Macaca fascicularis: one gene and its partners. Each later gene encodes a partner of the first gene's protein in a complex. Links are inferred from orthologs where the notes say so. Each region holds a gene or a part of one and is shown in the gene's direction. Other genes may lie near its edges. The genes, in order: UPF3B, EIF4A3, MAGOH, MAGOHB and UPF2.

What was found.
Region 2: UPF3B (region 1) and EIF4A3 share a complex: the UniProt entries of both Homo sapiens proteins name them as parts of the mRNA splicing-dependent exon junction complex. The link is inferred for Macaca fascicularis from reciprocal best matches to the Homo sapiens genes UPF3B and EIF4A3.
Region 3: UPF3B (region 1) and MAGOH share a complex: the UniProt entries of both Homo sapiens proteins name them as parts of the mRNA splicing-dependent exon junction complex. The link is inferred for Macaca fascicularis from reciprocal best matches to the Homo sapiens genes UPF3B and MAGOH.
Region 4: UPF3B (region 1) and MAGOHB share a complex: the UniProt entries of both Homo sapiens proteins name them as parts of the mRNA splicing-dependent exon junction complex. The link is inferred for Macaca fascicularis from reciprocal best matches to the Homo sapiens genes UPF3B and MAGOHB.
Region 5: the proteins of UPF3B (region 1) and UPF2 are in contact, whole or in part, in a crystal structure (PDB 7NWU), measured with the Homo sapiens proteins. The link is inferred for Macaca fascicularis from reciprocal best matches to the Homo sapiens genes UPF3B and UPF2. Residues at the interface, in NP_542199.1 of Homo sapiens: Lys52, Arg56, Arg57, Tyr79, Glu81, Phe83, Asn85, Asp86, Thr87, Ser88, Leu89, Tyr90, His92, Tyr94, Arg96, Tyr98, Ile130, Glu132, Pro135, Phe136, Lys138, Ala139, Ala140, Arg147, Asp148, Lys150, Val151, Gly152, Thr153, Ile154; in NP_056357.1 of Homo sapiens: Lys767, Arg768, Pro769, Pro770, Leu771, Glu773, Tyr774, Lys777, Lys790, Arg793, Gln794, Arg796, Lys797, Leu798, Pro799, Trp800, Gln801, Cys811, Ile814, Asn815, Trp817, Tyr837, Gln838, Glu839, Asp840, Ile843, His844, Val846, Asp847, Gly848.

What each region holds. Positions count from the first base shown.
Region 1 is NC_088395.1:126,203,379-126,209,530, reverse strand, and holds the start of UPF3B (regulator of nonsense transcripts 3B), read left to right. Parts: upstream 1-2,680; 5' UTR 2,681-2,757; coding exon 2,758-2,913; intron 2,914-3,814; coding exon 3,815-3,921; intron 3,922-4,098; coding exon 4,099-4,205; intron 4,206-6,152. UniProt on the Homo sapiens protein: Involved in nonsense-mediated decay (NMD) of mRNAs containing premature stop codons by associating with the nuclear exon junction complex (EJC) and serving as link between the EJC core and NMD machinery.
Region 2 is NC_088390.1:86,539,482-86,544,748, reverse strand, and holds the end of EIF4A3 (eukaryotic initiation factor 4A-III), read left to right. Parts: exon of another isoform or gene 1-248; coding exon 249-390; intron 391-1,082; coding exon 1,083-1,221; intron 1,222-1,858; coding exon 1,859-1,974; intron 1,975-2,859; coding exon 2,860-2,967; intron 2,968-3,063; coding exon 3,064-3,191; intron 3,192-3,688; coding exon 3,689-3,705; 3' UTR 3,706-3,932; downstream 3,933-5,267. UniProt on the Homo sapiens protein: ATP-dependent RNA helicase. Involved in pre-mRNA splicing as component of the spliceosome. Core component of the splicing-dependent multiprotein exon junction complex (EJC) deposited at splice junctions on mRNAs.
Region 3 is NC_088375.1:181,433,142-181,439,441, forward strand, and holds the start of MAGOH (protein mago nashi homolog), read left to right. Parts: upstream 1-2,413; 5' UTR 2,414-2,483; coding exon 2,484-2,571; intron 2,572-5,589; coding exon 5,590-5,648; intron 5,649-6,300. UniProt on the Homo sapiens protein: Required for pre-mRNA splicing as component of the spliceosome. Plays a redundant role with MAGOHB as core component of the exon junction complex (EJC) and in the nonsense-mediated decay (NMD) pathway.
Region 4 is NC_088385.1:10,339,050-10,345,401, forward strand, and holds the start of MAGOHB (protein mago nashi homolog 2), read left to right. Parts: upstream 1-2,694; 5' UTR 2,695-2,756; coding exon 2,757-2,850; intron 2,851-5,802; coding exon 5,803-5,861; intron 5,862-6,352. UniProt on the Homo sapiens protein: Required for pre-mRNA splicing as component of the spliceosome. Plays a redundant role with MAGOH in the exon junction complex and in the nonsense-mediated decay (NMD) pathway.
Region 5 is NC_088383.1:12,861,914-12,867,598, reverse strand, and holds part of UPF2 (regulator of nonsense transcripts 2), read left to right. Parts: intron 1-1,358; coding exon 1,359-1,542; intron 1,543-5,132; coding exon 5,133-5,272; intron 5,273-5,685. UniProt on the Homo sapiens protein: Involved in nonsense-mediated decay (NMD) of mRNAs containing premature stop codons by associating with the nuclear exon junction complex (EJC).

The sequences.
Region 1 (6,152 bases):
AGACAATAGACAGAAGTAGGGGCAGGGTCAAAGAGAGACGCTATGCTGCTGGCTTTGAAGACAAAGGGTTCACAAGCCAAGAAATACGGGCTGCCTCAAGAGTCTGAAAAAGACAAGGAAATCAATTATCTCCTAGAGCCTCCAGGAAGGAACTCAGTCCTGCCAACACTTTGATTTTAGCCTAGTGAGACCCATATTGGACTGCTTATTTATTTATTTATTTATTTATTTATTTATTTTTACTTTTTTTTTTTTTTTTTGAGATGGAGTTTTGCTCTGTCACCCAGGTTGGAGTGCAGTGGTGCAATCTCACTGCAAGCTCCACTTCCTGGATTCACGCCATTCTCCTGCCTCAGCCTCCCGAGTAGCTGGGACTACAGGTGCCCACCACCACGCCTGGCTAATTTTTTGTATTTCTCGTAGAGACGGGGTTTCACTGTGTTAGCCAGGATGGTCTTGATCTCCTGACCTCGTGATCCCCCACCTCGGCCTCCCAAAGTGCTGGGATTACAGGTGTGAGCCACCGCGCTCAGCCTTACTATATTTTTTGCCCCCTCACAGGACAAACTTAAAACCTTGTTGGACTTTTAACCTACAGAACTGTAAGATAATACACTTGCATTATTTAAACCCACTAAATTTGTGGTAATGTTACAGCAGGAATAGGAAGCTAATACAGTTGGTGTGGGGGAAGATCAAGTGTTCGGTTTTGGATGCATTCAGTGGCTGAACACGTTAGACGTCTTAAGTGGAGATGTTAAATAGGCAGTTGGATACATGACTCTGATGATTTCCAAGGCTCATAAGAATGGCCAGGTACTGAAAGAAAGAGTAACAGATCCCAAATACAGGGAAACAGTTTTGGCCACAGGAATAGGAATCCAAAAATAGGCTGGACATTTAGAGTGAAAAAATTTAAGTGCAGAGTCAGGGGAATATATTCTAGAGGTCAGCAAAAATGGGAGTTGGCCCTGAGGCAGCTTTCTGCCTTGGGCTCCTATTGCATCTTTACTTTGGTTTTTGTCCTCTATGGGTGTCTGTCTGTCTCTCTCTCTCTCTCTTTTTTTTTTGAGATGGAGTCTCACTCTGTCACCCAGGTTGGAGTCCAGTGGTTCTACCTCGGCTCACTGCAATCTCCGCCTCCCAGGTTCAAGTGACTCTCCTGATTCAGCCTCCCAAATAGCTGGGACTACAGGCGCCCGCCACCATGCCCAGCTAATTTTTGTATTTTAGTAGAGACAGGGTTTCACCAAGTTGGTCAGGCTGGTCTTGAACTCCTGATCTCAGGTGATCTGCCTGCCTCGGCCTCCCAAAGTGCTGGGATTACAGGCATGAGCCACCACGCCCAGCTAATTTTTTGTGTTTTTAGTAGAGACGGGGTTTCGCCAAGTTAGCCAGGCTGGTCTCGAACTCCTGACTTCAGGTGATCCATCCGCCTTGGCCTCCTAAATTGCTGGGATTATAGGCGTGAGCCACCACGTCCGGCCGACTGAAGTGCTTTCTATCATTGTGGTTTTACCTTTTCTAAAATTTCATATAAATGGAATTGTACAACATGTACTCTCTTGGTGTCTGGATTCTGTCACTCAACATAATCACTGTGAGATTCACTTATGTTGATGCGTATATCAATAGTTAATTTTTATTGCTGAGTGGCATTTCATTCTATGGCTGTACCATATTTTGTTTTATCCCTTTGCCTATTGAGAACATTTGGATTGTTTCCAGTTTGGAGTTATTATAAATAATGTAAAATTGGCCCTTTTTAAGTGAAGAGGGTGATCACAACTAAATCAAATTGGGTTTTATTTTTATTCCCTTCCCTGTGGGACATCAGTACCTGGGGAGAATGATCCTTTTGTAAAATAAGGTGATGAAAACAAATCTCGTATATTTTGGTCATATTACTCCTTTAAATATCAGTATCTTGTGTTTATTTATTATTATCCTTCTTTTTTAGATACAGGGTCTCGCTCTGTCGCCCAAGCTGGAGTGCAGTGGCGCGATCATGGCTCACTGCAGCCTCGAATTCCTGGGCTCAAGATCCTCCCTTCTCAGCCTTCCCTAGCAGCTGGGAATACAGGCGCGCGCCACTGAACTCGGCTAATATTGTAGTGTTTACTAAGTATCTGTAAATCCTAATCAATATAAGGAAAATAAATTTTTTTTAATGTTAGGCTCTTTCTTTGAGTTGTAGGAAAATAAATTCTAAAGCCTCTGAATTCAAAGACAAAATATACAAGTCGCTCCCCTAGTGAGGCAAAATTTGGACGGCATTGAGTTTATCCGATGGAAACTAAGCGTGCAGAACGTATCTTTCGACCTGAAAAACTCTGAAGATGAAAGGATTCGATTTACTTACAAACAGGGACCCTGAGATACCTCTGGCTCCTGAACGCCCAACAAAAGCGGGCAGCTGCTTTGCATGCCGGGACTTGTAGTCCCCGACAGAGTCACTTCAAGATGGCGGAGTTGCTAATGACGCGCGAAGGGGCGGGCCCAGAGGGAGTCTGCGCCGCGAGGGGATTGGGTGGCACAGGAACTTGGCGGGCGGGAAGTAAAAACCAGGTGTTAAAACCTTTGCACTGGGAAAGGCCCAAGTCTCGCGAGAGCTTGGCAGGCCCCAGTGGAACGTGGGGCCCGACTTATCATAAGGGGCATTTGTTGGGGGCGGAGCTTTGACGGGAGCTTCCCTGGAGCCGTTGGTGACCGGGGTAGCCCCGTTCCGGCCGAGCCGCTTCAGCGGGGGACGTAGCCATGAAGGAAGAGAAGGAGCACAGGCCTAAGGAGAAGCGAGTAACCTTGTTAACCCCCGCCGGGGCCACAGGCAGCGGTGGTGGGACCTCGGGGGACAGCTCCAAGGGGGAAGATAAGCAGGATCGCAACAAGGAGAAGAAAGAAGCGCTGAGCAAGGTGCCCGGTCGGCCGCTGGCCCGGGAGAGGGCGGGACGGGTCCGCAGCGCGGGGAGGATGGCTGGGAATGGGGCCGGCCCCTTTCTCTCTCAGGTTCCCCTTCTTCTCTTCGCCTGAATGGAAGTCGCACCATCCTGGTTTATCCTTTCTCCCGAAATGGGGAGAGCCCCTCCCGGCCAAATCCTGGGTAGGGGTGAGGAAAAGGGGGGACTCCCCAAACGGGAAGGGTTTAGGTCAGAGCTGTGAGGTGATAATGGGAAGAGAGAGCGACGGTATAAAGAATGAGGAACTAAAGGTGTAATTGGGGAGAAATATTAAATACTGAAGGAGACATCAGGGATGGGAATATTATTCATGGAGGCGAGTTGGGGGAGAGTTCAGGGTGATTAATGGTACGGGAGGGTAGATCGAGAGCATCCTATTTTGAGAGCAATGGGTGGATTTTTTGTATTCGTTAGAGTTTTGAATTCTTAAGTTCAATGGGCAAGGATTTTGTTTTAAGATGTGTTGGACGTGGGAGAAACTTGTTACTAAATCAAGATTTCGTGGCACCCACAAAGACCAGGGTTGGCTTACTAATTTCTTGCCACTAGATCTGTTAAAAAATGGGTGATCGAAAATGATGCACAAACCTGGTAAACTGCAGGGCTGCTGTAAAGAGCAAAACCTGAGATTTTTCCCTGCTCCAGGTGGTTCTCATTTCCAAGCGTTTTTTTTTTAAAACCGCGTTACTATTATCTTTGACTACTTCTGAGCATTGGGCTGCAGAATATTTTCTCCTGGGTTTTTACAAGTGATCTCATATTTTAAAAAGCCCAGTCTTCTTCAGGAACTGTGATTCTTTCAGGTATGAGAGAAAATTGATTTTTACTAATTTTATTTTCCTTATGCATTTCTTAAGGTGGTAATTCGAAGATTACCTCCCACTTTGACCAAGGAGCAGCTTCAGGAACATCTTCAACCTATGCCTGAGCATGATTATTTTGAGTTTTTTTCTAATGATACGAGGTAAAAAAAAAAAAAAAAAAAAAAAAAAAAGGAAAGGGGTAAATGAAAAAGGTTTCTTTCACTCTTTTTATCCTACTGTTTTCCATTTAATTTTTGAGCTTGTCTTTAATATATGCATACTTGTAATTGGGCCAGACACCTGCAAATACATTTACATAATTGCTTTCCTCTCTGCAGTTTGTATCCTCATATGTATGCCAGAGCATACATCAACTTTAAAAACCAAGAGGACATTATTTTGTTCAGGGATCGCTTTGATGGTTATGTATTCCTTGACAATAAAGGTGAGTTCTGGTAACTGAAATAAAAAGGGAATTTCTTTGTCATTCTTTGTCATTTGTATGTTTAAGACAGTGTGTGCATTGCGTTGCTTCCTGGGTGATAAAATGTGCAACATTTAAGTAAAGAGTTTTACACATTTGATAAGCTTGTTGCAGTCTTATAAATAGACATGTGACTTTTCACAGTCCTTGGTTACTTTTATTAACTTACTATTTTTTTAATTTGATCAACTGAGTGAAATTGCAACTGTTTTCTCCTCGTGTGACAAATTTTTTGCCCTGGCTTAAACCTGCTGTTTTGACTATAGAGTTTCAGCTGCAGTACTGATAAGTGACTCTTAAACTTGTTTGATAAGTTTTAAATATTTACTTCTTATTTTGCTTCAAAGACAAACATTTATTTAATTCAAATCCATTAAGCCAACAGTTCCCAGTTGGGATACTGTTGAACATTCTCACAAAGTTGTATATAATTAAAACATGAAACTTGATACATTGGCCGAGCACGGTGGCTCACGCCTGTAATCCCAGCACTTTGGGAGGCCGAGGCGGGCAGATCACGAGGTCAGGAAATCGAGACCATCCTGGCTAACACAGTGAAACCCCGTCTCTACTAAAAATACAAGAAATTAGCCGGGCATGGTGGCGGGTGCCTGTAGTCCCAGCTACTCGGGAGGCTGAGGCAGGAGAATGGCGTGAACCCAGGAGGCGGAGCTTGCAGTGAGCGGAGATCGCACCACTGCACTCCAGCCTGGGCGACAGAGCAAGACTCCGTTCCAAAAAAAAAAAAAAAAACTTGATACATCTCGGCCCGGTGCGTGGCTCTCGCCTGTAATCCTGTAATCCCAGCACTTTGGGATGCCGAGGCAAGTGGATCACGAGGTCAGGAGATCGAGACCAGCCTGGCCAACATGGTGAAACCCCGTCTCTACTAAAAATACTAAAAAAAATTAGCCAAATGCGGCGCCTGTAATCCCAGCTACTCAGGAGGCTGAGGCAGAAGAATCGCTTGAACCCGGGAGGCAGAGGTTGCAGTGAGCCGAGATCACGCCACTGCACTCCAGCCTGGCGACAGAGCCAGACTCTGTCTCAAAAAAAAACAAAAACAAAAACAAAAAAAACCTTGATACTTCTCTTACTTTATATCTAGAAAGGTCCAGTCTATAGGCAAGACACATTTCTGCTTTAACACTCTATTATATGCTACCTACAACATTTAGCCAGAGAATGTCTAAGCTGCCATTTGCCACTTTTCTTTTTGGTTTGCAATTATAGGTAAATAGTGTGTCTTCTTGTTTAGTTTTGTTTTTTTCAATATTCCTTCAAAGTTGGTAAAAATTAAATTTTTGTCAGGGACTATGCCAGTAAAAATTGAAGGATTGCCAGTGTTTATCCAACTTTTATTAATCTCCCCAAGCCAGCTATTTTTCCACTCCAACTATTTTATTCCAGTAGATATTTAACTAGATTCTAGTTACTTAGCCTGGAAATCTGAGTTGTGTTTAATTTTTTCCTTTTTTAAAATCTCTTACATGTAAGTTATGAATCTTGTCAATTTATTGTTTATCTTTTGAGACAGGGTCTCCACCCAGGTTGGAGTGCTGTGCCGCAATCATAGCCCACTGCAGCCTGGAATTCCTGGACTCAAGCAACCCTCCCACCTCAGCCTCCTGAGTAGCTGGGACTACAGACGCGTGTCACCATGCCTGGCTAATTTGCTTTAAATTTTTTTATAGAGCTGGGGTCTTGCTATGTTACCCAGGCTGGTCTTGAACTCCTGGGTTCAAGTGATCCCCCCACCTCAGCCTCCCAAAGTGCTGGGATTACAGGTGCAGGCCACCGTACCGAGCCCAACACCACTTATTAAAGAGACTATCCTTTCCCCATTGTGGTTTTTGTTTGTTCGTTTGTTTTGTTTTGTTTTTAAATCTTAAAGACAAGGTCTACTTA
Region 2 (5,267 bases), on another chromosome or scaffold:
CGGGGTGGGTTTCTTGATCCCTAGAGCACTTCAGATTGAAGAAGCACCAGAGGAAAACAAGATTCCCTCAACCAGATAACACTCGGGGGGGGCGGGGAGTAGGGACGGAGAGAACGCGTGGATGTGGCCTGGTTCTGTAAAAGTGAGATCCTGTCAACCGTACCTTATTCCCACTCTGCCCCTCACCCAGTGGGAACGCTGGGCGTGCCGCCCTAAGCATCCCTCACCTGTCTTGCGCCCTGTCCCAGGTTTCAAAGAGCAGATCTATGACGTGTACAGGTACCTGCCTCCAGCCACACAGGTGGTGCTCATCAGTGCCACGCTGCCACACGAGATTCTGGAGATGACCAACAAGTTCATGACCGACCCAATCCGCATCTTGGTGAAACGGTAGGAGCCCCTCTAGTCGAGTTTACTAAAACACTGGGCCCCATTTATAAAGGATTTTATGTCGTAATTTCAAAAACTTTTTATAGCCAGGGTGTTGCTGTGTTGCTGAAGCTGGTGTCAGAATCTGGGCCTCAGGCTATCCTCCTGCCTGAGTGTAAAGGAATTTAAAGCATGCAAATTCTTTTAAAATTCCTGTTTTGAAAAACCGAATAGGCTGGGCTACATAGGGAGACCCTATCTCTACAAATAATAAAAGATTAGCCAGGTAGGGTGGCACATGCCTGTAGTCCCAGCTACTCAGGAGGCTGAGGTGGGAGGATTGCTTGAGGCCAGGAGGCTGAGGCTGCAGTGAGCTGTGATCGTGCCACTGCACTTCAGCCATGGCAACAGAGCAAGACCCTGTCTCAAACAAAACAAAACAAAAAAACCCATCTTTTATAATACTCATTGTGGTTTGAACCAATAATTCTAAATTTAAAAATTAGATGACTGTATTTACTTACCAGTGTTTTGTTTAGAATCATATTCCACGTGGTGCACATTGTGAAATGTTCAGTAGGATACAGAATAGAGACCTGTGTGACGGAAGTGCTGATGGGATGGAGGATAGGGCTGGGGCGCTGGGTCTGCACCAGATACCATGTCCTAGCTGGAAGAATGAGGATGTAACAGGATTTGTCTTTGTCCTTCAGTGATGAATTGACTCTGGAAGGCATCAAGCAATTTTTTGTGGCAGTGGAGAGGGAAGAGTGGAAATTTGACACTCTGTGTGACCTCTACGACACACTGACCATCACTCAGGCGGTCATCTTCTGCAACACCAAAAGAAAGGTAAGAGGTACTGCATGGCCTCCATGTGCTTGAAGGGGAATTGCAGATTGAGTCTCTGAATGACTTAAATCAAGATTTTTCGGTGAAGGGCCAGTTTGTCCATATTTTAAGCTTTCGGGGTATGTGGTCTCTTGCAAAAGCAGCTGTAGACAATATGCAAATGGTCAGATACGGCTGTGACCATTAAAACTTTATTTACAGAACAGCGATGCCAGCCACCCTGAAAGATTCAGATTTCGTTGAAGGTGGAACCCAGGCTTGAGTAGTTTTAGATCCCCAGGTGATGATAATGTGGAGGCAGACCTGAGGACTGTCGGCCACTTTCCTGAGAAAGGAAAGGAATTGGGCTACATTCTGACAAGACTGGAATTCAAATTTCAAATGAGAATGAGCACACCTGGCCCCCTCCCCCATAGAGTCATTATGTGGAGAAAATGAAGTAAGAGGGTTTTGTGAGTGCACCCCAACATTTTCTGGGAAAAAGTTTGTGCATCCAGTTAGGATGATCCTGAGTTTTAAGAGCAGTTACTTTGTGAATATTGATACTGGTTCTGCAAATGATGGGGGTAAAATCCCGAATGCACATCTCTGGTTTGGTGTACGAACTTGCAGTAGCATCTGCTGATTGGATTTGTAGGTGGACTGGCTGACAGAAAAAATGAGAGAAGCCAACTTCACTGTGTCCTCAATGCATGGAGACATGCCCCAGAAAGAGCGGGAGTCCATCATGAAGGAGTTCCGGTCGGGCGCCAGGTGGGTCCGCTGTGCTGTGGCTCTGCCGGTCAGGGTTTGCTAGACTGTGTGCTAAGCACTTCATATGCACTGCCTGAGGCAGGCCCCAGAGCTGGGGAGATGACGAGCTCCTGCTCTGAAAGCTGAGGCCCTGGGTGAGCAGAAAACCTTCCAGTTAATGAGACGTTCGCTGTGCTCCTGTAATACTTCGGTTGAGGTGATAACGAGCCTTAACTAGCCAGGTTGGCACTTTGGTTACAAGTGTGTGTCTTCTTTTCCAGTAAGTACGGGTTTTCTGTTCATCATTTCAATTAGTTTAATTCCACATGGTCAGGTATCTTCTCACTGCAACCTCTGCCTCCTGGTTTCAAGTGATTCCTGTGCCTCAGCCTTCTGAGTAGCTGGAATGGCTTTTTTTTTTTTTTTTTTTTTGCATTTTTAGTAGAGACGGGGTTTCACCTTGTTGGCCAGGCTGGTCACGAACTCCTGACCTCAGGTGATCCGTCCACCTCAGCCTCTGGCAGTGCTGGGATTACAGGTATGAGCTGCCACTCCCAGCCAAAGATACTGTTCTTAATTTGTTGCTAGGCAAAAGTAAAATATTTTTCCCAATTAATTGGTTTAGGACCGACGAAACAAGTTAAAGGTAGTGTAGTAAAAGATGTCTGTTTTTTTAATCTGATGGAGCACATGACCGAAGTAACTAAATCCAGCAACAGCTCCTCTGCACAGGGATTTCTGGTGCTGTCCCTGAGGCTTCATGTTTGCAGACAGACTGGTGTGAGGGGGAATCTCATATCTTTTGAACTTGTAGCCAGGATTCCTCAAAATTAGCAATGGAAGCAAGTCCAGTCTTAAACTTGCATGAGTAATTTAATCGCCTCAAACACACTTTCTGTTTTGCAGCCGAGTGCTTATTTCTACAGACGTCTGGGCCAGGGGGTTGGATGTCCCTCAGGTGTCCCTCATCATCAACTATGATCTCCCCAATAACAGAGAATTGTACATACACAGGTAGGATGCAAGCTCTCATTGACTTCACTTCTGTGACACATTTACTAAATCTTGATTGCTGTAGATACTGACTGTGATATTGTTTTATTCCTGAAGAATCGGGAGATCAGGTCGATACGGCCGGAAGGGGGTCGCCATTAACTTTGTGAAGAACGATGACATCCGCATCCTCAGAGATATCGAGCAGTACTATTCCACTCAGATCGATGAGATGCCTATGAACGGTAGGAAATCGTCCAGCTCTACTGGAATTGTAGAGAGAACTTCCCTATTCTTAGTTTGGGGCACTTGAGTTTGTTTTTTTGTTGTTGTGGGTTTTTTTTGAGACGAAGTTTTGCTCTGTCAGCCAGGCTGGAGTACAGTGGCATGATTTTGGCTCACTGCAACCTCTGCCTCCTGGGTTCAAGCAATTCTCCTGCCTCAGCCTCCTGAGTAGCTGGGATTACAGATGCGTGCACCATAACCAGCTAATTTTTGTATTTTTAGTAGAGATGGGATTTCACCATGTTGGCCAGGCTGGTCTTGAACTCCTAGCCTCAAGTGATCTGTCCACCTTGGCCTCCCAAAGTGCCAGGATTACAGGCGTGAGCCACTATGCCTGGCCTGTTTTTTGTTTTGAGAAGTCTCTTGTGAGATTTTAGTTAAATTTACGTTACAAATTTTCTTTTTTTTTTTTTTTTTTTTGTATTGTTCCTTAATCTGTTTCTTTCTTCACTTTCAGTTGCTGATCTGATCTGAAGCAGATCGAGGGGATGAGTGAAGACTGTTCACCTGTTCTGTACTCCTGTTTGGAAGTATTTAGGTCCAGCTTCTATTTAATGGGGTTTATATGGACTCTCTTCTCATAAACGGCCTCCTGTCTCCCTCCGAAGAGGATGTGGGGATTCTGCTCTTTTCTTATTTACATGTAAATAATACATTGTTCTAAGTCTTTTTCATTAAAAATTTAAAACTTTTCCCATAAACTCTATATTTCTAAGATGCCACCAGCTTCTCTAGTAACTTACTGTGTAGTCTTGGGTCATTTCACTCACTTTTCTAATTTTTCTTTTTTTCTTGAGGAGTCTCCTTTTTTTTGAGAAGGAGTCTCCCTCTGTCGCCCAGGCTGGAGTGCAGTGGCGCGATCTCAGCTCACTGCAAGCTCCGCCTCCCGGGTTCACGTCATTCTCCTGCCTCAGCCTCCCAAGTAGCTGGGACTACAGGAGCCCGCCACCACGCCCGGCTAATTTTTTTGTATTTTCAGTAGAGACGGGGTTTCACCATGTTAGCCAGATGGTCTCAATCTCCTGACCTCGTGATGCAGCCGCCTTGGCCTCCCAAATGCTGAGATTACAGGCGTGAGCCACCGCACCCGGCCCATCTCACTTACTTTTCTAATCTTTTTTTTTAATTTGAGAGAGTTTCATTGTTGATGAGTTTTGCTCTCCCGCCCAGGCTGGAGTGCAGTGGCACCATCACAACTCATTGCAGCCACAACCTCCTGGGCTCAGGCGATCCTCTCAGCTCAGCCTCCTGAGGAGCTGGGAGCACAGGTGCATGCCAGCACACCTGGCTAATTTTTAACTTTTTTGTAGAGACAGGGTCTCTCACTTTGTGGCCTAGGCTGGTCTGTCACTCATGGGTTTAAGTGATTCTTCCATCTTGGCCTTACAGAGTGCTGGGATAACAGGTGTGAGCTGCCGTGCCTGGCCTCACTTTTCTAATTTTTTTTTTTTTTTTTTTTTTGAGAGCCAGGATCTCCCTGTCTGTCGCCCAGGCAGGAGTATAGTGGCAAGAGCATGACTTGCCGCAGTGTTGACAAACCAAAACAGATAATTATCTGTTTAAATATTTAAATTATTAAAGTATTATTTAAGTTATCTGTCCAAATATTTAAAGTAATTATGTAGCGTTATAGGCACACAGCACCACAGCTGCCCAATTTTTAATTTTTTGAATGTTTTTAAAGACAAGAGTCTCCCTCTGTTGACCAGGCTGGTCTTAAATTCCTGACTTCAAGCAGTCCTCCCGCCTCAGCCTCTCAAAGTGCTGGGAATACATGCATGAGCCACCGATCAGGCTCTAATACTTGAAATGGAAACGTTAAAACTAACTGGCCCCTCCCTTCCCGAAATTGGTTGGGATGATAATCTTCATTTCAGGGTTAGGGTGAGCTTGGAAGTATTTTTAAATTTCATCAGGTAATTCTACTTGAAGGCATCTGAAATTGTATAGTTTATGAATGGAACTTCCTTCTACTGAAACTGTGACTGGACCCGTGCTAGCCAGCTGGTGGCTGGTAGACCAGCTGCATCATCAGG
Region 3 (6,300 bases), on another chromosome or scaffold:
TAAATGATGCTGAATGCAGGCACGGCAGACACACACAGACCATGCTCTTTCAGTTACACCACGTCTCATATCCAGAAACCTGGATTACTTTACAGCCTGACTGGAGTTGTGTGTCCTTTAAATTTCTCAACACTTTTGTTATTTGCCACATCTGAAGATCCCCAGATTCACTTATGATTTTTATAATTTTACTCCTGGAAAATAACCTTGTAGCAATTGCTTAATCCCTCTACACACTTAACTCTAATTACCACCTCAAAATTGTTGTGATGATTCGAAAAACAAGCACAGGTAATCCCATTCAGCCTAGGAGCTGACATTTATTAGGTGCTTGATGGTTCCCTTTTCTCTTTTTTTTTTTTTTTTTTTTTTTTTTTTTTTTTTTTAGATAGGGTCTTGCTTCGTCACCCAGGCTGGAGTGTAGTGGTATGATCATGGTTCGCTGCAGCCTTGACCTCCCAGGCTCAAATTATCCTCCTACCTCAGCCTCCCAAGTAGTTGGGACTACAGGTGTGCACCACCACACCTACCTAATTTTTAAATTTTTTGTAGAGACAAAGTCTCTCTATGTTACCCAAGCTGGTCTCAAACTTCTGGGCTCAAGTGATCCTTCTGCCTCAGCCTCCCAAACTGCTGGGATTACAAGTGTGAGCCACTGTGTCTAGCCCCCTTCTCTTTTATACAGTTCCCTTGTTACTACCAATATGCGGTGTTTTGTAATAAAAATGTCATGGTTTTATAGCAATTTACAGTTTCCGAGACATTGTTTCTTATAACAGTTCTGCTAGGTGTACGTTTTTATGCTCATTTTAAAGAGAAGGAAACTCTGAAGTCTAAAAAGTTGAGTCAGTTCACCTTTGGTTACAATGAGTCATTGTTAAAACAAAAGATTATTTTAACCAGTGTCCAATGGTTTTTTTCCCCCACCACACCTACTCTACACTCTGCTGCTAATGCTTTTTCAGGGAGAAAAGGACTCATTGTTAAGACTGGGGGCCATGCACGGTGGCTCATGCCTGTAATCCCAGCACTTTGGAAGGCTGAGGCGGATGGATCGCCTGAGGTCGGGAGTTTGAGACCAGCCTGGCCAACATGGTGAAACCCTGTCTCTACTAAAAATACAAAAATTAGCTGGATGTGGTGGCACGTGCCTGTAATCTCAGCTACTTGGGAGGCTAAGGCAGGAGAATCACTTGAACCCAGGAGGTGGAGGTTGCGGTGAACTGAGAACCAGCCGTTGCACTCTAGCCTGGGCAACAAGAGCAAAACTCTGTCTCAAAAAAAAAAAAAAAGACTGGGGGTAGGAATCAGAGACTGCTGTCCCGACTTACAGAATCTTATACTGTTCTAGTTGCCAGGCCCCAAGAATGATGTCATCTCAGCACTGTCTCTAGAACCATTCATTCTCTCTAAGTGTGGAACTTAGACGAGTGAGAGCAGGCTCCTATTAAATAATTATGATCTTGATTGCTCTGGCCCTACTCAACTGTAAATTTTTTCCAGAGCCAGAATGGCTTCACAGAGGACAACTTTGCTCTGAAAAGAGTCTCTTTGGTCAGTGGTCCTCAACTGAGAGCTTTACAAAGAGTACCAATGCCCAGTTCCAGCGCTGGAGATTTTAATTGGCTTGGGGTAGAGCCCTGGCATCAGTATTTTTAGAGGCTCCCCAGGTAATTCCAATGTGCAGCCAGGCTGAGAATCACTGCTCGGTAAGTGGGATGACTGGGGAGTGGGAGATCAAATACTCTAACTTCTCACAGCACCTATTCTAGAGATCAGTGGGGCAGAAAGATAGAAATAAAAGGTGGAAAAGGACGAAATGGGTAAGTGTGGGTGAACTAGTTCCAGGGAAACGGCAATCTCCACTGTGGATTCAGGGAAGGCGTCACTGAGGAGGGCTTTCTTAACAGTTCAGGTCAACGGAAGCCATCTTGAGGCACACACATCGTGCGCGGCATCCTCCGGGAAGGTCGGGTCATTTCACCCCATTTTACTGCCGAGATGACCTAGGTCCAGAGACGGTAAAGAGCGGTGTACGACTCACACAAGTCGGGGGTCCTGTGAACTGAGGTTGAGCCTGGCGGGGGCAAGGCTCGGGGTGTTCGGTCCGAGATCTTTAAGCGAAGTCACCAGACCCCGCGTTCAAAGCCCAGAGGTAGGCAGGCGGCTGGCTCTCGGCCTCAGGCCGGGAGAGAACCCAGCGGGTACCAACCTCAACCTCGCTCCCGCGTCCAAGTGGAGAAGCGGAGCTGGTTGGCCCCGCCTCCGGGTTAAACAAAGTTCGTTACCTCCTAGGCGTGAGAGGGTGTGGCAGTCTTGTTGTCACTTCCGGGCGAATAGGTTAGCTAGAAGGAACCCCTCCATTACGCGACGGCGTAATCTGACGTCACTTCCGCGCGCCGCCGCAAACGTCAGTGTCGGGCGCAGACCGCAGCAGTGCGGCTTGCTGTTGGAAGTTCAGGCTCGGTTGTCTTTTGGGAGCCATGGAGAGTGACTTTTATCTGCGTTACTACGTGGGGCACAAGGGCAAATTCGGCCACGAGTTCCTGGAGTTTGAGTTCCGACCGGATGGTAAAAGCAGCCTGCCGCCCGCCCGGAGCGGGACCAGGCCTTGGGGCGGGCGAGTGGGGAGGCCGAGGGTCGGAAATCTGTGGGGAACTAGAGGAGGAAGGGGCTGAGACCTGTGCAGTGCGGATCTGAAAGGAGCGCCACTGTGTCTGCTCCACGGCGTCGTTTTATCCATACAACAAACGTTGGCTGAACGCCCACTGTGTGCCAGGCTCTGTTCCACTCTTTGGGGATACGACAGCGAAGATAGACAAACTTCCTCTCTCGTGGAACTTGTGTTTTACTGCTGGGAGAGAGATCATAAAAAGATGATTCCGGATAGCAGTGAGTGGTCAGAAAATATGGTAGAATCGCTGGATGGGCTGCTTTTAGATAGGTTGGCCATTAGAGAGCTCTAATGGTATATTGCAGCTGAGCCCTAATTAGCAAGAAGGACCCAGCCTTGTGAAGCTCACAAGGAAGACCATTCTACCCAAAGGGAATACCAGAAGTCAAGGCTGCAGGGCGGGAATGAGCTTAGGCATGTCTCAGGTGGTCAGTGTGATTGAAGAGTGGTGAGCTGGGAGATGGCAGGAGATGATGTCGGATAGGTAGTAGGAGCCGCACCTTGTAGATCTTTATAGACCAGGGTAAAGAGTTTGGACTTGGAAGGCTTTTTTAATTTTATTTATTTTTTTTTTTGAGACGGGTTTCGCTCTTTTTGCCCAGGCTGTAATGCTATGGCGCGATTTCGGATCATTGCAACCTCCGCCTCCCGAGTTAAAGCGATTCTCCTGCCTCAGCCTCCCGAGTAGCTGGTATTACAGACACCCACCACCACGCCCGGCTAATTTTGTATTTTTAGTAGAGACAGGGTTTCACCAGGTTGGCCAGGCTGGTCTCGAACTTCTGACCTCGGGCGATCCGCCGGCCTCGGTGTCCCAAAGTGCTGCGATTACAGGCGTGAGCCACCGCGCCTGGCCGGGCTTGGAAGGTTTTAAGCAGAGAAGAAATGTGATCTGTTCTTGAAAAAGCATTCTGGTTATTGGGTGCGGAATGGGCAACAGTGAAAACAGGGCTATTGATTAGGAGACTGTTGTCAAGACAAGAAAGATGTTGGGGGCCAGTCGCAGTGGCTCACGCCTGTAATCCCAGGACTTTGGGAGGCCGAGGTGTGCGGATAACTTGAGGTTAGGAGTTCGAGACCAGCCTGGCCAACATGGTGAAACCCCGCCTCTACTAAAAATACAAAAATTAGCCGGACGTGGTGGCAGATGCCTGTAATCCCAGCTGTTCGGGAGGCTGAGACAGGATAATCGCTTGAACCTGGGGCGGAGGTTGCAGTGAGCTGAGATAGTGCCAGTGTACTCCAGTCTGGGTGACAGAGCGAGACTGTGTCACAAAAAAAAAAAAAAAAAAGATGTCGGTTGGGACTACAGAGATAGTAGAAATGGAGAGAAAGATTTAGGAAACTGTTGGAGGCAGAATCAACTGGACTTTGATCGTTGATAGGATTTTTTTGGCGGAGGCACTGTGGTGAAGGAAAGAGGAATCAAAGATGACAGAAAACATCCATTAAGCGGGCCACAAAGATGTATCTGACAGGCCCCGACTGTGAGGGAGATGGATTTGTAAGCAGGGACCAAACAGCGTATTAGGTGTTGTGGTAAAAAGAAACAGAGGAGACTTGCAGCAGAGAAGGGGCACCTAGCCAAGCCTGAGGGTCAGAGGAGGCTTCCTACATAAAATGATGGGAGGAGGGGATGTGAGGTATTGATTAGGAGACCAAGAAGAGTCAAGAAGGCATTTTAGACAGCATGCAAAGAGGCTGAAAACCAAAAAGTGCTTGGGATGTTTCAGGCAGAAACCAAGTTGTTCGACTCCAGCTGTGTGAGAGAAGAATATTGCAGGAGTGAGGCTGGAAAAGCAGGCAGGGGCTTTGCTTAGCCGTATGCCATGTTGAGGAGTTTGGATTTTTTTTTTTTTTTTTTGAGATGGAGTCTTGCTCAGTTGCCCAGGCTGGAGTGCAGTGGCGCGATCTGGGTTCACTACAAGCTCCGCCTCCCGGGTTCACGCTATTCTCCTGCCTCAGCCTCCTAGGTAGCTGGGACTACAGGCGCCCGCCACCACGCCTGGCTAATTTTTTACATTTTTAGTAGAGACGGGGTTTCACCGTGTTAGCCAGGATGGTCTCGATCTCCTGACCTCGTGATCTGCCCGCCTCGGCCTCCCAAAGTGCTGGGATTACAGGCGTGAGCCACCGCGCCCGGCCGGATTTTAACCAGGAAGGCAGCGGAAAGCCATTGACTTTATCAAAGTATTAGAGTAACCTAATCTGATAGATCTGTTACCACATCACCTTGTCCACTATATGGACAGTGAACTGAATGTGAAGAAACTTGAGGCAGAGAGACAGCACAGAGACTGTTGGAATAAATTCACTGGGCTCATCTCACATGTATGTCTTCTAGTCTACATGTCTTCTGTTTCCTTCTATCTTCTCCTCATCCCCACCATGTATTCACATTAACCTGTTAGACGCACACATGGACAAAGGGTCTTGTGTACCAAATGTGCTCAGTGATAAAAGCAACAACTTTTCCATCACAGAAATAGAGTGTGGCACAGTCACATGATAATATATGTAAACAGCATCCTACAGTTTTCAAAATGTTTTCACAACTCATTTGAGCCTCAGGAGGTCCTATGTGCTGGTAAGTTATCATTTACTCTGCCTGTTTTCAGGACATTCACCTGCAAAAATGTGATTCGACAAAGTCAGAAAAGAGCCTGCCTGTGTTTTTACCTCACCTGAGCTGCTTTTTGCAGTAGTTGAGTGTCAGCTGTATATTTGGCTGTTTAAGCCTGAAGTGAAGAACTGAAAGACTAGTATTGTTGAACTACCTTAAGAGTAAATAATAAATGTCTTAGACACTTTGAGCAAGTTGGATACATTTTAGGCAACTGCCGATAGTCTTGGTATGGTATTGATGCTTTATTCATGTTTTTATTATATGTTGAATTTGGCTTTTGTCCCCACAGGGAAGTTAAGATATGCCAACAACAGCAATTACAAGAATGATGTCATGATCAGAAAAGAGGTATGCCTTCTGAGAGGCCTTCATTTTCTACATTTCAGCTTTTTGTCTTGCATTGTTTTTGTTGTATCTAGTATTGAAAGGTAAAGAACAGGGAGAGAGACACATGTCTGTAGACAGCTTCTGGATTATTTCCCAAATCATCTTTTAGTTGGGATTTTTTTATTTTACAATGTGGAATCAATTACTGGTAACCATTGACATACCTTGGTTTGAACCCTGAGTCTGCTGCTTACTACCTCATGTGACAGTGGGCAAGTTCCTGGCTGAACTTGATTAAATCTCTGTTTCTTCACCTGCAAAAACAGGGAAAATAAAAGCTACCTCCCACTCCCAAGTGCTGTCATAAAATTAAATGTGTTATACTTAAAGTGCTCTATATATTCCCTGGCACATAGTACACAATGGAGAGCTATTTAATTTGCATCTGAGTGGGAAAGGGAGCATGGGAAAGCAGTTGATATCATTGAATGCATGTTAGATGTCAGGCATGGCATCTTATTTAACCCTGATTATAAGCCCATGTGATGGGGGAGGGTATTATAGCCCCCTTACAAATAAGAAAATAAAGGCCCAGATATTAATTATGAGACTTGTTCAGAGTTACCCCTGCTAGTAAGAGATACAGCAGGAATTCCCAATTAAAGGAATTCCC
Region 4 (6,352 bases), on another chromosome or scaffold:
TTGAATGAGGCTTTCCATATAATTCAACAAAATGGATTACAGCTCATATTTCCAGAGATACTATGGAATACAGTGCTCAAATTTCTGTGAATTATTCTCGTGATAAGTGTGGTGACCAACCCATCTCAGTTTTCCTAGGTGTTTCCAGGTATGGAAAGTCCCATGTCCCAGTAAACTCCACAGTCCTGGTCAAACTGGAATGGCTAGTCACCCTAGTGATAAAACATGGTGCTTGCTGTTTCTTACGTACTTTCCAAAACGGTGGCCTATTGTAGGGATTGATTCATTTTTCTATACTAATAGTTATATAAGTACTAACATGGATTCAAGGAAAAGTGGCTCAATTTGCCTTTTTAGTCATTCTACTTAAACCTTATGCTCTAGCTATACCGAATTTCGTGGTGTTCCCAAAATATGCATTTCACCCACTGTCTTTGCTCAGGTCATTTTCTGCCTGGAATGCTTTTTCATCCCACTGAACATAAACAGAACTTACTTCTCAAGGTCCAATTCAAATACTTCCGTTGATAGTCCTTCTCCAATACTCTTTTTACAAATTTACCTACTCTGCAATAGAATGCTCTTGATTCCTCTGCTGTACTACCAGCATGTTTTACACACACACACAAACACACACATTTATATATAAAATATATATTTATATATAAATGTGTGTGTGTATGTGTGTGTGTGTGTATGTGTGTGTGTGTATATATATATATGTATATATATATATAGACGAAGTTTTGCTTTCCTCACCCAGGCTGGAGTGCAATGGCGCGATCTCCGCCTCCCGGGTTCAAGCGATTCTCCTGCCTCAGCCTCATGAGTAGCTGGGAATACAGACGCGTGCCACCAGACCTGGCTAATTTTTGTATTTTTAGTAAAGACAGGGTTTTGCTATGTTGGCTAGGCTGGTCTTGAACTCCTGACCTCGGGTGATTTGCCCCCTTTGGCCTCCCAAAGTGCTGGGATTACAGGCATGAGCCACTGTGCCCGGCCACGTATCATCTTCTTCCTCCTCCCCTTCCCCCTCCCTCCTCCTCCTTTTTCTTTTCCTTTTCCTTTCCTTTTTTTTTTTTTTTTTTGAGACGAAGTTTCGCTCTTGTTGCCCAGGCTGGAGTGCGGTGGGATCATCTCAGCTCACTGCAACCTCTGCCTCCCGGGTTCAAGCGATTCTCCTGCCTCAGCCTCCCGTGCAACTGGGACTACAGGCACACGCCACCACGCCCAGCTAAGTTTTTGGTATTTATAGTAGAGACGGGGTTTCACCATGTTGGCCAGAATGGCACATATATTCTTAATTATAGCAATTGATCCATTGTGCCAATATTTGCCTTACAAGTTTGCTTTCTTTTCTAGACTACCAGTGCAAATGCCTTTTTATTTCTAGTTTCAAACTGTCACATAGGAAATGTTTGTTAAAACTAACGTTTTATAAAATTTAAAGCTTATTTTACATATCTCATTTGATCTCTCAAGAATTCTGTGAGCTTGGCAATGTAGATTGCTGTATATGCCTTAGGCTGATGAATAAACAGGCTTAGAGAGTCACTTGCCCGAGGTTAGGTAGCTGTAAGTGTTGGGATTGAATCCCAGGTCTTCTCACCACCACTTTCTACAAAAATCACTGAAGGTTGTCAACCAGCAGAGAGGATTACTCTGTGTGTTGATAACAAAAGGGTGATCAATAATATTTAAAAAGCAGACTTTGTGTAAAAGTCTTTCCCTTACCTTAAAAACTATGCCACAATGGAGCATTCTTTCATTCCTCCAATTTAATTATATCTGGCGAGAAACAGTAATGGGCTAAACCATTGTTGTATCTTAAGTCAAATTGCCAAAACTCCACAGGCTACTAAAAGTTAACCCTTACTGAATGAATTAAGAACCATAGAAGTTCTGCTGTTAAAAAACAGCACGGTGACAGTCAGGGTTTTTCAGGCGTAGGGGGTGTGTGTTTTAAGACTTTAAGCCAGTTTTGTCCCACTGAAATTACCGTCAGTGATTTTTAGTAGAAAGTGGTGGTGAGAAGACCTGGGATTCAATCCCAACACTTACAGCTACCTAACCTCGGGCTAGTGACTATCTCTAAGCCTGTTTGTTCTTCAGCCTAAGGCATATACAGCAATCTACATTGCCAAGCTCACAGAATTCTTGAGAGATCAAATGAGATCTCTTAAGTTCTTTGCTGTGATGGATTCCTTTGACTTTGTCTCTATTATTATAGGCTTATAGGTCCGGGGCAACTACCAATCGTTATTCAAAGGGGAAAGCACCCTGTTCGAAATCAAGTAAGAAAAATGGTTTATATTCCCGGTCTGCCATCTCTATTCTAAGCTTTATCTTTATTTAGCTCCCAGTTAAAGGGGGAATAGAGCCACACCCACCTCACAAACGCCCCGAGGACTGGGAGACCAGAAAAGTAAAAGCCACTTGCAAACCTAATTTAGCTCTAAGTCGATAAAAAATACTATCATATGCTCACATTTCTAATATTTGCTAATATAATGTGATCTTTATTTTGAAAATAATGTGCCTCCAATCCTAGTAAAGAGAAAGTCACGGCATGCGACTCTCCCTTCAGCACCAACTGGCCTCTCACGCGAGACTCGGCTTTCACGCTTTAGTCCAGGGCTGCAAGGCAGGCGGAAGAGAAGCGCCTGTGGTGACGCACTTATTCCGCGCGATGACGTGACTACAAGGCGCCGGGGGACACGTTGGCTGGGTTTTCGGCGGGCTTCCCGGGGACAAAAATGGCTATGGCTAGCGATTTCTACCTGCGCTACTACGTAGGGCACAAGGGCAAGTTTGGGCACGAGTTTCTGGAGTTCGAATTTCGGCCGGACGGTGAGAAGAGGCCCACGGCACGCGGTGCTGGGAAAGGGGAGCGAGACCGAGAGGCCGTGGAGGAGGCGAGGGGAGGCCGGGTGGTGTGGAGGGTACAGGGGGCGGAGGCCACTGCTTCCCTCGAAGGAAATAGGAGCTTAAGAATAGAGGAGGCCTAAGTTGGTTTTATAAATGAAAGAGAACTAATTGCAATAAATTAAAGCTAATCCTGTCGCAAACTGAAAAGTCGAACTTACAGTAATCAGAATTCTGTAACTGCACCAGAAGGGACTCTGTAGATTGTTGACCTGGATTAAAAATGCTAGCACTTTTTTGAAAACACCCCCATCAGCGGGTGGTCCAATGGATGAATAAAATCTTGTGGTGACCAGTACCTTTTCTTCATTCAGGCTGTGTGTGTTCTTTGAAGGGGAGGAGCCCGACGTGTTAACAAATGAGAATAATAATATGTTTTAGGTGTCTACGTATAATTGTTCACCACAGGACGCATGAAGAGTACCAAAAAAGAGGGGAGATGTAAAGTTCCACAGGAGGGAGTCAGGAAAATCTTCCTAGAGGAAGACACTCTTGAGATGAGTCTCGAAATGAGAGACTTGGCCTTTGAGAGAAAAAAACAGACTTCCAGAGCAGTGAGAGCAGAGGACGAGGTGAAACTGCTACCCCAGTAGCGTGCAACAATTTGTTTTCTGACAGCGCTATTAGAGAATGTTACATTGGTCCTGCCTACCTGCAACAAGAAAGTTCATTTGGATATATATGTTTTGGTTTTTTTTAAATGCACGTTTTTTGCTGGGCAACAAGCAAATACAAAATTTGAAGGTACACTAATGAGTAAGACAAATTTAACTCAAAGAGATTTGTCTTGGTGGGGACACAGACATTTAACTATAAAGCAGTAGGTATATTAATAAGCAGGCTTTGGACAATGTTCTGTGAGAGCAAGAATAAAAAATTAGAGGAGAAACGTATATTAGGAAAGGAGAAGAGTATCAAGCATTTCAGGCAGAACTCAGGTGAACTACAGTCCTGCAATTATTACTTTGAAACAGAGTCTCACTCTGTCACTCAGATCTGAGTGCAGTGGCACGATCTCAGCTCACTGCAACCTCCGCCTCCCAAGCTCAAGTGATCCCTCACCTCAGCCTCCCGAGGTGCTGGAAATACAGGCCAGTGCCACCTCGCCCATCTCCTTTGTTGTTGTTGTTGTTGTTGTTGTAGAGATGGGTTTCCGCATGTTGCCCAGGCTGTCCTCAAACCCCTAAGGTCAAGAGATTCACCAGCCTCAGCCGCCCGAAGTCCTGGGATTACACGCATGAGCCACCGTGCCAGCCCTGCAATTATTTAGAAACCTTAATCACTGTATTCGACCTTACTCTCCCCATAAATTCAGCTAAATTTACCTGAATTCATCTATTCTTTATGTAGTATTATTTTCAGTTCCTCTGCCTGTGAACACCGTCAAGCTTGTCTCTATTACTTTTAGCAGGTCACATAAATTAAGCACCTGAATATTATCAGGGAAGTTTTATGCTAGAACAGTGGTTCTAATCAATGTATCTGCCACTGCACTGTTACACATACTTCTTCTATTGGTAATATTGAGTCTCCCGAAGACCTGCCTGCCTGCCTGCCTGCCTGCCTGCCTGCCTGCCTGCCTTCCTTCCTTCCTTCCTTCCTTCCTTCCTTCCTTCCTTCCTTCCTTCCTTCCTTCCTTCCTTCCTTCCTTCCTTCCTTCCTTCCTTCCTTCCTTCCTTCCTTCCTCTCTCTCTCTCTCTCTCTCTTTCTTTCTTTCTTTCTTTCTTTCTTTCTTTCTTTCTTTCTTTCTTTCTTTCTTTCTTTCTTTCTTTCTTTCTTTCTTTCTTTCTTTCTTTCTTTTTCTTTTTCTTTTCTTTTTTTCTTTCTTTCTTTTTTTTGAGACAGAGTGTTGCTCTGTCACCCAGGCTGCAGTGCATCTCAGCTCACTGCAACCTCTGCCTCCTGGATTGAAGCGGTTCTCCTGCCTCAGCCTCCCGAGTAGCTGGGATTGGAGGCATGTGCCACCATGCCCGGCTACTTTTTCATATTTTTAGTAGAGATGGGGTTTCTCCATGTTGGCCAGACTGGTCTCGAACTGCTAACCTCAGGTAGTCCACCTGTCTCGGCCTCCCGAAGTGCTGGGATTACAGGCGTGAGCCACTACGCCTGGCGCCAAGCCATCAAAGACTGGCATTTCTATCATTTTAGAGTAACTGCTGCACCTTATAGCTGTGTCTGGGCAACTGACTAGCCATAAGGGGAAGCATACATCAGATAATACACAAATCATGATGGATTAAAATTAAATATAAACTAGCTAACAAACTCATCAACTTCGATCCAGAAGCATCGTTTGTATCCTTCTTAGTCATAATTCTAAAATGTCTACAGTATAATTGTATGCATACATTTGAAGGAAAAAAAGGAACATTTTTTTGTAGTGGAGAAAGCCTGAGTATTAAAAGAAAGTAGATCTAGGTCTGAATCTCCCATGTTTAAGTTACTTAACTTTGTTTTCTCTCTTATGAATAGGTGAGAGAATAAAACCTGATTTTTAGGATTGTTTTACAGATTAGATTAAATTCTCTGTGTAACGCACTTAACACCAATACATACATATAACAAACTTGAATGTTAGTGCCTTTTGCAGATTCTCTTTCTAGTTCATGATGTAGCTTAAGAAAATAGGCTGTAAAAATGACCCTATATCTATATGTTGTAGGCATAGACTATTTAAATATTTGGCTATCTTCAACTTCAGCAAACTTAACCAGCAAATATTTATTGTCTACATGTCTAACAATGATTTTACACAAGGAGGGAGGAAATAATAAAAGTAGTATAAAATGGTCTTTACCTTTAAAATTGTATATGATGTCATTAATTTTTTTTAGCAGTTTTTGCTATTGTAAATTGATTTTTTTCCATTTCCCACAGGAAAGCTTAGATATGCCAACAACAGCAATTACAAAAATGATGTCATGATCAGAAAAGAGGTAAGTTCTATTCGAATGTCTTTTTTTTTTTTTTTTGCATTTAGCCCATTTTCTTCAAGTCTATGTTGAATTTACAAAAGTACATCTAAGGCTATATTGTAAAGAAGAAGGCAATTTACAGATTGAAAGAGTTGCCATTTAAATTAGATACAATGGTTGCATCCATAGGAATGAGAAGGTTCAGAGAACTAACCTTGTTGTGAACTACACTTGCATTTATTTATTTATTTTTATTTTTATTTTTATTTTTATTTTTTGAGACAGAGTCTCGCTCTGTTGCCCAAGCTGCAGTGCAGTGGCGTGATCTCAGCTCACTGCATCCTCTGCCTCCCAGGCTCAAGCGATTCTCCTGCTTCAGTGTACTTGCATTTATTACTGTTCACCTTATAGATCTTGTGATCTAACCACTTGGGGGTATTTGGATCTTAATGTTACAAAGGCAGAATACAGTGTTTCAAAGATGGGTAATGATGAGAAGAGGGAAAAATAAA
Region 5 (5,685 bases), on another chromosome or scaffold:
ATTAAAAATACATCCACATTGTGGCATGTGTTAAGTGGGGGGTAAATATTATTGGGGAATTGTGGTCTGTTAGCTTGCTCCTACCACTATTCTTTTGCAATAGAGGGAAACTTATTACTCCTTTACTTTCTGAATTGATGAGCAGAAAGTGGGGAAAAGGACTTGCAGATTTGAGCGTTGGAGTCCCTGTTGTATGTGAGGACCATCTTAAGTTGGATACTGTATTAAAAGCCAGAGTTTTGCTGCAAAATGGCAACTATAACAGCATCCAAACTAGAGTCTCTCTCAGAAGGGAATCATTCTTTGGATTCTCTCTGACGTCTTAGGCTGAGAGAAAAGAAACACTCAGAAATATTCAGGAGCAAAAAGAGACAAAAATGTTTTCCAAATTGATTAACAGACAAAAGTGCATAGCAGAGCCATACTTAGGAATTGGAGTCAAAAGTGAGTGAGGCCTGGGTGGCGAGGTCTGTGTGTTCACCCAGAACATGGAGTGTACAGTGCAGTATTAGAAGGTCAGGAAGAAAGGATCACCTGGAGCAGTGCTTCTAAACTTTGCTGAGCATCCATGTCCCCTGGGGACATTGTAAAGATGCAGATTCTGATTCAGTTGATCTAGGAGGAGGACTGAGATTCTACATTTCTAACAAGCTCCCAGATGAGGTCCACACTTGGAGTAGCAAGGACCTGGAACAGACTGGAGAGGAAGAGTAAAACTCCCAGAGGAATACCTGTTTATATACTAGTAAATTCTTGGGTTGGGGTTGTGCTTTCAGTTAATGTAAATTTAGGAATTAGAACAAATATAAAATAGAATGTGGGAACCAGGCTTGGAGTAGAGAGGGAAAATATCTACACAGTGCCATATACACAGTAGATGTTCCATAAATGCTTGTTGATGATTAGTGGTTTTATATATTTCAAAAACCGTATCTTCAGATACTTTAACTCTTCAAAAATCAAAGCAAGTAGTACAGAGAAAATAATGAACATTTATCACAACAATGGCTTTGAATTTGGTTATATTTGCAAAATTAAATATGGGAAATCAGTACCTTGTTTTGGAGTAGCTGAAAATTTATTTGGTATTTTATTTATAATATATCCTTGCCTTAAACTGTGACAGTTATAATAAAAAGATATTTAATACATTCACCAAATAGCTGAAAGCCTGTATAGACAGAGGGAAATGATTGGAATAAGATCATTGCTGTTGACCGTTAATAGAAATGGTAGGTGTCTTTTACAACCTTTTAGCTTAATAGTTATAACTAGGTAACAGCACAATATAGTTTATTATTTTTAAATATTTTGTTATTAATTTCTTGTAGCTAAATTTATTTTTCATTTGTTATCAGCGTTATGTTTGGTGGAAGAAAAGTTTGGAGGTTTGGACAAAAGACCATCCATTTCCTATTGATATAGATTACATGATCAGTGATACCCTAGAACTGCTAAGACCAAAGATCAAACTCTGTAATTCTCTGGAAGAATCCATCAGGCAGGTACAAGACTTGGAACGAGAATTCTTAATAAAACTGGGTAAGCAATTGATTATAGACAGAAAATGAAGGTGCTATTTGGCAGATTGTATCTGGAATTTGCTTTATAATGTTACCAGTCAGAGTTTACATTGTATCTTTTCTATTTTCAGTGTTGAGTGTAACATAATAGTGTTAGGTAATAGCCATGTGATGTGCTTGATTTCACTAGGTAATTTCAAACTGGAGAAAAACAGTTATGCAGTACTCACAGGACTTGAAGCAAGTAATAGTGATGGGAAAAAAAAAAACCGAAAACCACAATCCTGTCTACCTCTCTTAATTGTAGAATTTTTGGTTGCTAATATAAAATCTATTTTTGATTAAAGCATTACTTATTTTTGCAGTATATATTTTCAACAGGCATTATTTCCTAAAAAGTGCAAGGAAAGAAACTGTAGAAGGGAGTAACTGTCAGAAATTTGGAACTATCCTGCAGGGTAGGATTTCAGAGCTTACCACTGGCAGAGTTGCTTCTGTTTCTAAGGACTAGAGAAAATCTAGAGATAATTAGAAGGTTCTCTATATACTTCAGTATCCTGAGGTTGTTTTGGGGAGAAGAGTTAACTCTTGAATAGCTGCCATTAGAGCTGCAGGAACTTACATGTCTTTAGAAATAACCAGTACAAGGTATAGCCATACCAACCTGGTTTATATGCTGATAGTTCTTAGCATGTTTTATTGTAGTCATTTTAAAGTGACATGTTTTGGACAGTTGTGGTGGCTCATGCTTGTAATCCCAGCACTTTGGGAGGCCGAGGCAGGCAGATCACCTGAGGTCAGGAGTTGGAGACCAGCCTGGCCAACATGGCAAAACCCCATCTCTACTAAAAATGCAAAAATTATCCAGGCATGGTGGCGCACGCCCATAATCCCAACTACTCAGGAGGCTGAGGCAGGAGAATTGCTTGAACCCGGGAGACGGAGATTGGAGTGAGCCAAGATCACGCCATTGCACTATAGCCTGGGCAACAAGAGTGAAACTACATCTCAAAAAAAATAAATAAAATAAAAATAAAGTGACACGTTTTCATACTATTAAGCTAGTATTTGATTTCCCACTAGAACTTGGTACATTCATGTCTATCATGAAGGGATCTTTACCTTAACCAGTTATGCAAATTATATAAATTTACTACATTGCATATCTGAAGAACCACTTTTCATGGTAAAGGTTTTATAAGTGCTGCTACTGATTGTGCAAGTATTAACTTTTCCTGCAACTTAACCCGTAAAAGCATATGTGATTCTTTTTGTTCTTTGAACCTTTTTCCAAGTTACCTACTTTCTTTTCCTTTTGAAATTTCTAATTGAATACATGATCTCATATCAAGCAGAGTATTTGTGAACTTATTTCACTTGCTTTGGATCCTTGGAAAATTGTTAAGTCTTAGCCTTGTTTCTCAAAAACCTTAATGAATGGTACTCTCTGTATAGTGGACATGAGTAAATATTAGTGTGATACCTAGTTTGGTGACAGAAAAGAGAACAGTTGTGCTTTGTCCTTTGTAGATCAAAAGGCTAAAAAGGACTGCAGGCTTCTTGTGAGGACTCTGTCCTTGCTTAGAATATGAAGGTAAAAAATAGATCGCTGTTCATGAATAAAACTCAAAAGATGGTAGCAGCTGCAATCAGTGCACTCCCAAGTCTCCATTTGCTTCCTGGTTATAGAGTCTAAATATCAGGAAGAAGACATATGCAGAAAAATTGATATTAAATCAGTTTCCTACTGATAAACCAGAAGATAATACAGTATTGTGCTTTTGGTAGTTTTTTGTTTTCAGACACCTGAAAATTCATTGTCTTATGTTAGTTTTATAGTATCCCAATGTTAACATTGTAGTTAATTGGAAAATACTAAAACCATTTTCTTGTATTTTAAAAATAATTTTTAATAGTATTAAAAGTCATAAGTGTTCATGACAGTAATTTTTTTAAATACCAAGAAAACAATACCAATATTCCATACAGAAGGATAATCATGTGTTACTATTTTGATACATATTTTTCTACTCTTTTTAAATTTTTTATGTGTTTGTGATTTTATAACCAATTGGTTCTACTTAATACATTATGAAATTTTTTCTTGACATTACACATATTCTTTTAAAGCTTTATTTTTTGTTTTTTAATTGGCTGTGTTCATTTGTATCTATGTGCCATAATTTACTTCATACAGCTGTTTCACTCTTAGGTTGATACTGTTTCACTCTTAGGTTGATTCTAGTTTTATGTAAATAACATTTTTAGTGTACCTCTGATTTTCTCAGGATAGGTAAGATTACTGGCTCAGATTTTTATTTTAATTTAAGAACAAAACTAAAATGATAATAGTCAATATTATTTGAATTCTGGTTTGGAAGTGTTCAAACCAGTATTCATGAAATGAGAGGGTTAAATCATATCATCACTAAAGTTTCTTCCTGCTTGAATCCTCTCAGATTCTATGAATCAACAGGTATTTATTTAACACCTACTGTGTATTTATTAATATATGTGCTCTCAAGTTTTGAACATATAAGTTTTTTGTCCTCAAGGGTCTTATAATCTGATGTAATATTTATGTGATTATTAGGAAAAAAATAACAACGTAGTATATCATCAAATGTAAGATGCTATAAGTTCTCCACATGCTTTAGGAGCAAATAGGAGAAAAAGTAATAGATTGAAATACTCATTGACAGTTTATGCAGCAAGTAAAACTGAAACGGAACTTGAAGAGTGGATGGGATCTGAAAGTACGTATTGAAGGGTGTTCTCTATTGAGAAGGATATTGGACAAGCAAAATCTTAAAGCAGTGTGTTCTGTGACAGGAGATGTCTGAGGCAACTTCAGGGGAGGGCTTAGGAGAGAGGAGTGGGTAGCAGATCAGTGGGATCGGATGAGACCATATTGTGTGCATCTCAAAAGTAGAGAGGGTGGATTGGAATTCCAACAGGAAGAATTGACTAGGCTGTGAAATGTGGGATGGACACAGGAGGTGAAAGCAGATTCAGGCCAGGGAGTTCCATTAGGCTTAGGAGGAGAATGCTGTTATTGAAGAAAAAAAGTGAGTCTGTATGGTGACAAAGCTGCTATGTAGCTTTTTGCCCCATTCCCCCACATCTTAATTTGCATACATTCAAATTGATAGCCAAATATGATTTATCCATTAAAGTGGCACAATTTGTTTCAAGTCTTTGAGTTTTTGGAGACTCTTTAAATCTCATTTGGTAAAGAGTGTGGCCAACGCTGTATCTTACATATGGCTGAGACTGTACCTCCTCTGTTGCTGTTTTCTACCTTTGTCCAAGACTGAGATATATAAGATTATCCAAGTATTTAAAGCTGTAAGAAAAGAGGGAAAAGTATACACACATATACACTTATTTTTTGTCGCTTTTTGTTAGTGGTGTTTCTTTGTTGAAATGTAGGCCTACACATTTAGTTTTTAAAATGTCTCTCACCGCAGTTTTTAACTCTTTTACGTTTGTTCTGAGAAAATGGCTGTTGAATTATTAATGCATACTTTTACATGAATTGGTATAGTATAGAAAACTGGCCTGTATCTATTTTTAATGTATTTTCCATTTCCATCTTCTCATTTCAAGGCCTAGTAAATGACAAAGATTCAAAAGATTCTATGACAGAAGGAGAAAATCTTGAAGAGGATGAAGAAGAAGAAGAAGGGGGAGCTGAAACAGAAGAACAATCTGGGAATGAAAGTGAAGTAAATGAGCCAGAAGAAGAGGTGATGACTTTTATATATAGCAACATAGAGTACATTTGTATAAGAGTATTTTGATTATACGAGCCAAAATTTTTTTAATACATAAGACCTCCTCCTTAGTTGTTTTTTGTTTTTTTTTTTTTTGAGACAGAGTCTTGCTCTGTCGCCCAAATTGGAGTCCTGTGGTGCAATCTTGGCTCACTGCGACCTCTGCCTCTTGGGTTCAAGTCATTCTCCTGCCTCAGCCTCCCGAGTAGCTGAGATAACAGGTACCTGCCACCACGCCCAGCTAATTTTTGTATTTTTACTAGAGATGGGGTTTCACCATGTTGGCCAGGCTGGTCTTGAACCCCTGACTTCAAGTGATCCGCCCCTCACAGCCCCCCAAAGTGCTAGGATTACAGGCGTGAGCCACTGCACCTGGTCTCTTATTT